Saccharomyces cerevisiae S288C: one gene and its partners. Changing the gene in region 1 together with any one later gene gives a genetic interaction. Each region holds a gene or a part of one and is shown in the gene's direction. Other genes may lie near its edges. The genes, in order: GLO1, RDR1 and YAR066W.

What was found.
Region 2: mutations in GLO1 (region 1) and RDR1 together harm fitness more than expected from each alone (negative genetic interaction), as found in Saccharomyces cerevisiae (one large-scale study listed by BioGRID).
Region 3: mutations in GLO1 (region 1) and YAR066W together harm fitness more than expected from each alone (negative genetic interaction), as found in Saccharomyces cerevisiae (one large-scale study listed by BioGRID).

Annotation. Positions count from the first base shown.
Region 1 is NC_001145.3:261,205-264,369, reverse strand, and holds GLO1 (lactoylglutathione lyase GLO1), read left to right. Parts: upstream 1-1,684; coding exon 1,685-2,665; downstream 2,666-3,165. Other genes in the region: YML003W (uncharacterized protein), read right to left, coding at 15-887; TRM12 (tRNA(Phe) (4-demethylwyosine(37)-C(7)) aminocarboxypropyltransferase), read right to left, coding at 2,761-3,165. UniProt on the Saccharomyces cerevisiae protein: Catalyzes the conversion of hemimercaptal, formed from methylglyoxal and glutathione, to S-lactoylglutathione. Can use gamma-glutamylcysteine as a substrate.
Region 2 is NC_001147.6:1,049,391-1,053,559, forward strand, and holds RDR1 (Rdr1p), read left to right. Parts: upstream 1-1,899; coding exon 1,900-3,540; downstream 3,541-4,169. Other genes in the region: AMF1 (Amf1p), read left to right, coding at 121-1,668. UniProt on the Saccharomyces cerevisiae protein: Transcriptional repressor of multidrug resistance genes, such as PDR5. Required for growth on non-fermentable carbon sources like lactate or glycerol.
Region 3 is NC_001133.9:219,215-222,275, forward strand, and holds YAR066W (uncharacterized protein), read left to right. Parts: upstream 1-1,834; coding exon 1,835-2,446; downstream 2,447-3,061. Other genes in the region: YAR064W (uncharacterized protein), read left to right, coding at 984-1,283.

The DNA of each region.
Region 1 (3,165 bases):
TGTCAACAACTGGTTCACTGAAAAATATTTATTTTTTCAGTGTCTACTTCGTGGCCTTTGAAATGTGTAGTAAGCCTAGACCATATATCATCGTAAAGATTTAGTTCAAAATAGTCGTGTATAAGATCGTAAAGATTAGAAAAGTTCTTGAAAAGTGAATCCGATTTCATTCCATCAAATGCTTGTTGCACGATGCTTTCAAAAATACTTCTAGATGGATCATCACCAGGAGCGAGCGTTCTGTAACTCGAAAACAATTGGCCAAGCTGTGTTAATCGAGCAGGATGAATGTGCAATATATTCTCGAATGACGATCTTTCTTGCTGAAAAGAATCTATCGACAGATTTGGCATAGCATGTGCATTTTTTGGTATTTTCTCATAATTGTGAAAACACTGTAAGTAGTCGTTAGGTACAAATTCGCAATTTAAAGGTTGATCTATGAATAGTATGATAAAATCAGCCGCCCCTTCAAAGTAGTCATTAAAATTGGGTAATATTTTTGTCTCTAGAATCTTTAGTCTTCGCCTTATATGAAATCCATTTAAGGCATGGATCACATTATTCTTCCATTGAATAACAACGGTCTTACCATCTAACGTTTCATAATGACTGTCCCTTGAATTCGTATTTATGTAAGAGTTTTCAGTCATTAACAATATGTAAGAGTTAATAAACTCTGCATTATAACAGAGGTCATGTAACGGCAGTTTGCTCTTGACATCGTGGTAATTCAAAAGGTATTCTGAAGGAGGTGCTAGGAGGATAAACCTACGGGTTTTTAAATTAGCGAAAAGCTTTTTCAATGGGGATCTTTCTGGTTCGGGACAGTTAAATATAGCATTAACCAGCGGGTTCAACAGCGTTGGTAAATGGTAAACTGACATTGTCAACCCTAGCTAAGCCATAGCTTTTCCGTTGAGGAATTTACAATAAGGTGGTTCCTTTAGTTATAAATTGCAACTGCCAAAATTTTCGGGTAGCGGCAAAATTAAACGAAAACCTTCTGTCATATTAAACATAGTTTAGTGACGCAATGCACACACACTCATATATATGTATATATTTATCTATATCATAGGTGTAAGGCAAAGTTATCACGTGAATATACTGTTTAGTATACAAGTACGTTGATTTAACGGCTGAGAGATTCTCAAACAAAGTAACGCTTAGTTTAGCTAAAGTAGAATCGAAGCGCAGTGAAGGCAAGACGAGTTATCCCTTTATCACAAAATATAAAAAATAGGTAAAGAGGGGGGTGGGGGTGGTTCGGACTTTGCATCTCGGTGCATTAGTACCACTCAGCTTCAGTTATAGGAATACTGACAATGTTCTTGAGCCAGGGAGAACTGAAATTTCCATACCCTTTAACCCTTTATTCTTGAGCATATGATCTTATTTTTCCACTCAGCACAAAATACACATCCCGCATATGATCTGGACACTGAATAAACAAGGGGCTTTACGATGGAGTAGTAGACCTGGATACGTAGTCACCACAGGGATCCTAAACTGCGTCATAGTAAGTTTCTTTGATACTAGAATGTCCCTCTCTCGTAGTAGTTGATATCCCGTATTTCTAGTTAGTGACGTTTATAAATAGGGAGAAAAAAAATCGGAATAACATTTCCATGCCTTTTTTTTGACACTTCAGACCAGATACGCCACCAGCTACAAACTAACAATGTCCACTGATAGTACACGCTATCCAATTCAGATTGAGAAAGCCTCGAATGATCCAACCCTTCTGCTTAATCACACATGTTTAAGAGTCAAGGATCCAGCAAGGACCGTTAAGTTCTACACCGAACACTTCGGTATGAAGCTATTAAGCAGAAAGGATTTTGAAGAAGCAAAATTTAGCTTGTACTTTTTAAGCTTTCCAAAAGACGACATACCCAAAAATAAGAATGGAGAGCCTGATGTTTTTAGCGCACACGGTGTCTTAGAACTAACTCACAATTGGGGTACTGAAAAAAACCCAGACTACAAGATCAACAACGGGAATGAGGAACCTCATCGTGGATTTGGGCACATCTGTTTTTCTGTATCCGATATCAATAAAACCTGCGAAGAGCTAGAATCTCAGGGTGTCAAATTCAAGAAGAGACTCTCTGAAGGAAGACAGAAGGACATTGCGTTTGCTTTAGGCCCTGATGGATACTGGATTGAGTTGATCACATATTCTAGAGAGGGTCAGGAATACCCAAAGGGCTCAGTAGGTAACAAGTTCAATCATACCATGATTCGTATTAAAAACCCAACCCGGTCTTTAGAATTCTACCAGAATGTGTTGGGCATGAAATTATTAAGAACTAGTGAGCACGAAAGTGCAAAATTTACGTTATACTTTCTTGGTTATGGCGTTCCAAAGACCGACAGCGTTTTTTCATGTGAAAGTGTGTTGGAGTTAACTCATAATTGGGGAACTGAGAATGATCCAAACTTCCACTATCATAACGGTAACTCAGAGCCCCAGGGTTATGGTCACATCTGCATAAGTTGTGATGACGCTGGCGCCCTTTGTAAAGAAATTGAAGTGAAATACGGCGATAAGATCCAATGGTCTCCTAAATTTAACCAAGGCAGAATGAAGAATATTGCCTTTTTGAAGGATCCTGATGGTTATTCCATTGAAGTCGTTCCTCATGGTTTGATTGCCTAAAAAGTTGAAATGAATAGGAGGTTAGTATTTTTTTTTTACAATAATGACCATTCTTGTTGACTTTTCATACACTAATTATTATTTATATTTTGTATTTAAGTACTTACTATAACGTCGACATCAACGCATACATGCCAAATATCTGGTGCAAAAGTTTTTATGCGTTCAAGCTTAGATCTCACAAACTGAAGTTTGATGCCACGGTTTCTAATTAATGCAATTGACTCATTAATAGCGTCGAGTTCTACAATGACATTCTTTTCGAAACTTCCATCCTCAATTGCATCTATGTGTACATTTTCATGTATATGCATTGTCACTTTTTCCAAAGAAGCTCCTTGTAAGTAAATTAATTTGATGGCCAATGGCCACCCTTGTTTGCTTGAAGGCAGGAGACCTAAATTAATATGCCTAATACGTAACCGAAATCCGGGATTCTGAGATAAGAATTCAGTAAGCCTTTGAACGCACATTTCATTTGATTCTTGGAAAACGTGGCA
Region 2 (4,169 bases), on another chromosome or scaffold:
TATATCTAGCCTCCAATAACTTCATTTGTGGAAACTTACTTCTATCTCACTCTCTACCTGAAAAGAAAACAAATATTGTACATTCATCAATTGCTGGAACATAAAGAACATAAAATCAATATGTCAACTAGCTCCTCCGTAACGCAGAAAAACTTGGATACAAACGCGGAAGCCTTGAAAAAGGAGGATAAAGTATTATCAGAGTTTGATATTCAGGATGAGAGGCCTAAATCCCTTTTATGGGAGAGTGCCTTTGTCGGAGTGCTGTGCTCTGCCCAACTAATGACTCAGGCAGGACTTGGACAATCATTAGCGCCGCTTCACATCATCGGTAACAGTTTTGGAACAACGAATGCTGGACAACTTAGTTGGTTTGCTTCCGCATATTCGCTAACTGTTGGTACATTCATTTTAATTGCTGGAAGACTCGGAGATATCTTCGGACACAAGAAATTCTTTGTCCTTGGCTTCTTTTGGTACGCACTTTGGTCCTTACTTGCTGGGTTTAGCGTCTACTCTAATCAGATTTTTTTTGACTGCTGTCGTGCATTTCAAGGCATGGGTCCGGCCTTTTTGTTGCCAAATGCCATTGCGATTCTCGGACGCACATATAAGCCAGGAAGAAGAAAAAACATGGTCTTTAGTCTGTTTGGTGCTTCAGCACCTGGTGGCTTCTTCCTTGGGGCTGTTTTCTCATCCATGTTGGGTCAACTGGCGTGGTGGCCATGGGCTTACTGGATAATGGGTATTGCATGCTTTGTTTTAGCTGTAGCAGGTTACTTTGTAATCCCTCACACCCCCATGCCAAGCCGCGATGCCTCATCTTTCAAGTTGTTGGAACGAATCGATTTTGCAGGGTCAGTTACCGGCGTTGTTGGATTAATTCTCTTTAATTTCGCTTGGAACCAAGGCCCCGTTGTGGGTTGGCAAACTCCATACACATACGCTCTTTTGATAGTTGGTACCTTTTTCTTGGTTATTTTTGCATATATCGAGTCCCGAGCAGCTTTCCCTCTGCTACCATTTGCTGCTCTTTCTAGTGATACTGCTTTTGTACTTAGCTGCATAGCTGCGGGATGGGCCAGCTTTGGTATTTGGATATTCTATACATGGCAGTTCATGGAAGACTCAAGGGGCCAAACCCCCCTTCTTTCTAGTGCACAGTTTTCACCTGTAGCAATCAGTGGATTTTGTGCAGCCGTGACGACAGGTTTCCTTCTAAGCCATACACCCCCAAGCACAGTTATGCTTTTTGCGATGACAGCTTTCACAGTCGGAACTATATTGATTGCTACGGCCCCCGTTCACCAAACGTATTGGGCTCAAACGTTTGTGTCAATCATTGTTATGCCTTGGGGAATGGACATGTCCTTTCCGGCCGCTACAATAATGCTTAGTGACTCGATGCCACACGAACATCAAGGTCTTGCAGCCTCTTTGGTTAATACGGTGGTAAACTATTCGATATCGATAGGTTTGGGTATTGCAGGTACAATTGAATCTAGAGTAAATGACGGAGGTGCCAAGCCTTTGAAAGGATATCGTTGTTCGTGGTACATGGGCATCGGGTTGAGCGGACTTGGCATTTTTGTCGCAGCAACGTATGCATGGAGCACTTTTATGAAGTCTAAAAAAAGGATCTCCGAAAAGCAGCATTTTATAGAATAAGTTCATATATAGAGAAATACTTCATCGTGGTATATAACCCAAACTAATAGAAATAAATATAGTACGATCAAAGTGATAGAGAGGAGCCAGTATATCCCGTATCGTGCGATAAATATGAAAATTACAAGAGGCCATTCTCGAGTGAAAAGATACATTATTTTTTCAAGTAGAAACCTGAAAGAACTTCAGTAAGATAACTTAGCGCACACTTTCCTACTTTAAGCTCACCAAATGGCATCCCCAGGATCGACAGCATTACCACACAAGCGACAAAGAGTCCGAAAGGCTTGCGTGCCCTGTAGGGAACGTAAAAGGAAATGTAATGGCAAATCTCCATGTGAAATGTGCGTTGCCTATGGATATGTATGTCATTATATTGACGGTCGTGTCCCTTCGGCATCACCTCAAGTGCAACAAGTAGGTGAAACATCTCCTGATACGGAGAGCAGACCTTTTGTTCTTCCGGGTATACATAGAAACGAACAACCGCAGCCTATAAATACACAGAACGTTACAAGTCAAAACATTGTAGATCCAACTAAGTCTAGGTACACGATCCAGCACTCTGCAGTTGCTTTCCCCCGCTGTCTTGGTCTCGAACTCCGATCAACTAATCCTCCACGCCTACATTCCTTCGCTTGGCATTGCGGAATCAGACCGGAAGAAAATCCAAACTCACATGTCCTTCTTTCTGATTTAGTTACAAAGGAAGAGTATTACCGTATCTCAAAAGTTTATTTTTCAGTTGTTCACCCGATATTTGATGTTGTTAATCCAGAGCAACTGGCAAAGAATGTTGAAAAATACTGGGATGGCGACGTAAAAACCTTAGAGTATGGGGCTGTTATTGCAGGGGTGATAGCTTTAGGATCATTTTTTATGGGAAGTCTTGGCCATCCCCGAGAGATGGATATAGTACAATATGCCAAAGGGATCCTTGATGACCCGACTTTCAGTCGCATTCCCACGGTGGAGCAAGTCTCCGCATGGGTTTTGCGCACCATTTACCTGCGAGCCACTTCGAGGCCCCATGTAGCATGGTTAGCTAGCTGCGTAACCATCCATCTTTCTGAGGCAATTGGCCTGCATCATGAGATTGACAGAGAGGATATAGCGATATCGAACAACGTTCCACCAAAAAGAACTACTGTAGTGAGCGAACACACTAGAAGATTATTTTGGTGTGCATGGTCAATCAATACCATTCTTTCATATGACTATGGGCGCTCAAGTGTTACGCTGAATAGAATTACTTGCAAGCCAGTTAAGGAGACGGACGGTAATTTTACAGCTCATTTAGTCGCGTTAGCACACCTGATTCCCCAAGACAGCGTGAACGCAAACGCAGCGCAATTGTTGCAGGCCCTGGCGGCCGTTCATGAATCACCAAACGCACATCCGTTTTTGTCGTTGACCAAGGGTGATATATGCCTCTCTTTGTATAGAAGACTTCGTTTGCTGAATCATATTCTTGATAAAAATGTTGTTTTACAAATAATTGATATCGGCAACACTGCGCTATCAGCAGCATACGCTCTTGTAAAACTGGATCAAGCATGGTGGAATGTGTTGAGCACCTCATTCCAGTACGTCTGTGTCCTTCTTGCCATCGACACACCGGAAAGTCTTTCACATGTTGCTACTGCCATGAAAACGTTAGATAATATTACTCAAATTCTCGGTACACGTATTGCTTTTGAAGCACAAAAGACCGCAAAACTGCTTCTTGAGGATTCCATGAAAAAAAAAAGACAAGAAATTCAGCAGCTTGAGCAGGCAACTCACCAGAGATCTAATCTTGAAACTACTCACCTACTCGATATTGACTGGGATGCTTTGCTAGATCCATCAGACACGTTAAACTTTATGTAAAAGAGTATTATAGATTATGTGTATCGAGAAGCAAATTGATTTATAATTAGAGGGAATGGAATTGATGTTTAATACCTGCTTACTATATTTTATCTTTGATAATTGCGCAGAAAGTAATATATCCGGTATTTGAAAATAGGAAATTTAAAGAAATCCCGTCACGCCTGGAATGAGGGGTGAAACCTTGACTGATATTATATTCTTTTCTTGGACATAGTGTCTGAACCAAATGCAAATTGCACTGCATTGCACCAAATTGATGGTTCAAGTTCGATCTATAAAAATACGAGAGAAGGTCTGACTGTTTATGTCAATACTCAAGAGGCTCAGGAACAGTGTTAAAGCTTGGAAGTTCAATTCATTAAAGAAAAGTTGATAACGTCAGGTGGAAAACCGAAAGATAAAAATAAAAGCAAGTCAAGATTTGAAGTATTGCTGAGCGAAATTTTGTTTGAGTGGTCCGGAAATTTTTATACACTTTATTAGTATTTGGTTTAGTGTAGGTGGGAAAGCTTAGAACGTATGTAGAAAAACATCCCTGAAGAGTTCTCTAGATCTTATCATCAGCAATAAAAGAATGCCGTTGTGACACTTAAATAGTCATATCACATGCGGATACACTTCTAATA
Region 3 (3,061 bases), on another chromosome or scaffold:
TCGGTCATTTCTTCTTCTGCAACGACCTCCACTTCTATATTCTCTGAATCATCTAAATCATCCGTCATTCAAACCAGTAGTTCCACCTCTGGTTCTTCTGAGAGCGAAACAATCTTAGTGATTGCTGGCATGTCATTAGCGACAAGACGCTTATTACCGTAGTAGCCCCCCAAGGCAAACATCTCTTTATCAGTAATATCCAAAGCTGTTCAACTTCTCGAATTGGCCCAGGAAAAGAGCATTGGGGCGGCAACTAACTCTGGCATACTTACAGTTTCTGCTCTTGACAGCGCTAAAAAAGGGCTTGTTTTGTAATGCCCGGTTCGCAATTCTACAAGTACCACGCACTAGCTGCTAAAAGTGTCTAACCTTGCGAACAAATCTGGACTTTCTTATGAGAATCCCATCGTCAAGAAACAAAATTATACAGACAGGCGTAAATGTAGCTCGTAAGCGCCTGATCAAGTAAGCCAAATGCGCTAACTTGAGGAAATATAGCCATCTAAATCTCTGCAACATGCCAATTCGCACGTGACTTGAAACTATGGAAAGTGTCTAGAAGATTACCAAGAACCACGTTATTTGAGAGAGGATGGCAAGGTGACGACAATCACACCAAGACCACATTTTGGGTGCGCCTGGAAGCAAGACCTGAGAAACTGGGCCAAAATATTCAAACCAAGCATAAGATAGTTGGAGGTAGGAATACACTATCTAATCTGTGCTGATGAAATGCTGGCGAAAACGGGCGATGTAGTGGTACAGAAGGTGCCGGTTATCCGTTTGTCCGTTTTTCTTCATTTTTTTTTTGTTTTTCCCTTTTGTCTTTTGCACCGCTTATATATGGGTATGAAACAAGTTCAAGAATTTATAATGGAACCCAAAGGTTCAGTCTTTGTAGTTCGAGCGACATTGCGCGTTTCCTTAGAAAACGCTGGAAAGATATTCTTTAACGAGACGGAGTAATTCTCGTCAGGAATAGGATGTTGATTGATTTTTGCTGTAGTTATATAGCAGGGACCCACGGAAGAGAGCGAGCGCCTTCTTTCACAGGGACTTTTGTCAGCCACGTCTCCGGGGAAAACAATTGCCGTCCGCGTCGCAGTGAGATTACGCAGCCGTGCGCTTCAGGGACAGAAAAGAAGCATTTCGCGGCTACGGAGAAACCGTGCACTAACTCTCTCGAGGGTAGCCGCAAAGATTTCTTGTCTCTTCCATTAGGACATAGCTATCTTTTTCTTTTCTGTTTTTGGCGTATGATCTGTTCTGAGCCAAAGTTATAGATCATTGCTTGAATAAGCACCTCACAGAGTAGGGATTGTATAGAAAGTAGCTGAGCGTCTGCCCACGTAACAAACAATCTTGCCCCTTCCCCGCTCTTGTTTTCGCGTGCCTCTTCTACAATAATCTGGCCAGGCTGAATCGCGTTCTGCTGCTGCTGCTGCTATTGTTATTGTTGTTGTTGTTGTTTTGGCCAATTGCTTATGTGTTGGTCTGCAAATTAGCACCTCGTTCCCTGTTGGCAAACGCGCGCGTACAAGCCTTACAGGGCTTGAGAATGTTCTTCGTAGAAATGCATGCACAAAAATTCTGATCTAGCACACCATCGGTCTCTGTAGCTTCGGGCTCTATAGCTATGGGTTAGGAGTCCGTGAGTAGTAACAAGAAGAAGTATATAAAAAGCAGGTAAATCGTACTTCAATATGCTTCATTGTCACTGGATCGTCATATTCACTCTTGTTCTCATAATAGCAGTCCAAGTTTTCATCTTTGCAAGCTTTACTATTTCTTTCTTTTTATTGGTAAACTCTCGCCCATTACAAAAAAAAAAGAGATGTTCAATCGTTTTAACAAATTCCAAGCTGCTGTCGCTTTGGCCCTACTCTCTCGCGGCGCTCTCGGTGACTCTTACACCAATAGCACCTCCTCCGCAGACTTGAGTTCTATCACTTCCGTCTCGTCAGCTAGTGCAAGTGCCACCGCTTCCGACTCACTTTCTTCCAGTGACGGTACCGTTTATTTGCCATCCACAACAATTAGCGGTGATCTCACAGTTACTGGTAAAGTAATTGCAACCGAGGCCGTGGAAGTCGCTGCCGGTGGTAAGTTGACTTTACTTGACGGTGAAAAATACGTCTTCTCATCTGATCTAAAAGTTCACGGTGATTTGGTTGTCGAAAAGTCTGAAGCAAGCTACGAAGGTACCGCGTTCGACGTTTCTGGTGAGACTTTTGAAGTTTCCGGTAACTTCAGTGCTGAAGAAACTGGCGCTGTCTCCGCATCTATCTATTCATTCACACCTAGCTCGTTCAAGAGCAGCGGTGACATTTCTTTGAGTTTGTCAAAGGCCAAGAAGGGTGAAGTCACCTTTTCTCCATACTCTAACGCTGGTACCTTTTCTTTGTCAAATGCTATTCTCAACGGTGGTTCTGTTTCCGGTTTGTAACGTAGAGACGACGATGAAGGCTCTGTAAATAACGGTGAAATCAACCTAGACAATGGAAGTACCTATGTTATCGTTGAACCAGTTTCTGGAAACGGTACAATCAACATCGTCTCTGGTAACCTATACTTGCACTACCCTGACACCTTTACTGGCCAAACTGTTGTATTCAAGGGTGAAGGTGTTCTTGCCGTTGACCCAACCGAAACCAACGCCACTCCTATTCCTGTTGTTGGCTACACCGGTAAGAACCAAATTGCCATTACCGCCGACATCACTGCTCTTTCTTACGACGGTACTACTGGTGTCTTAACTGCAACCCAAGGTAACAGACAATTCTCTTTTGAAATTGGTACTGGATTCTCTAGTTCTGGCTTCAGTGTCTCCGAAGGAATCTTCGCAGGCGCCTACTCATATTACCTAAACTATGACGGTGTCATCGCTACAAGCGCCGCATCCACATCCGCATCCACTACCTCTGGTGTTGTCTCTACTGCCACTGGTTCAGTCACTTTATCCTCTAACGCTTCTACCACCGTCTCTTCTACGATCTCTTCTAGCGCCCCAGACTCAATAATTCCTTCATCTAGCGCCTCTATCTCTGGTGTCTCAAACTCC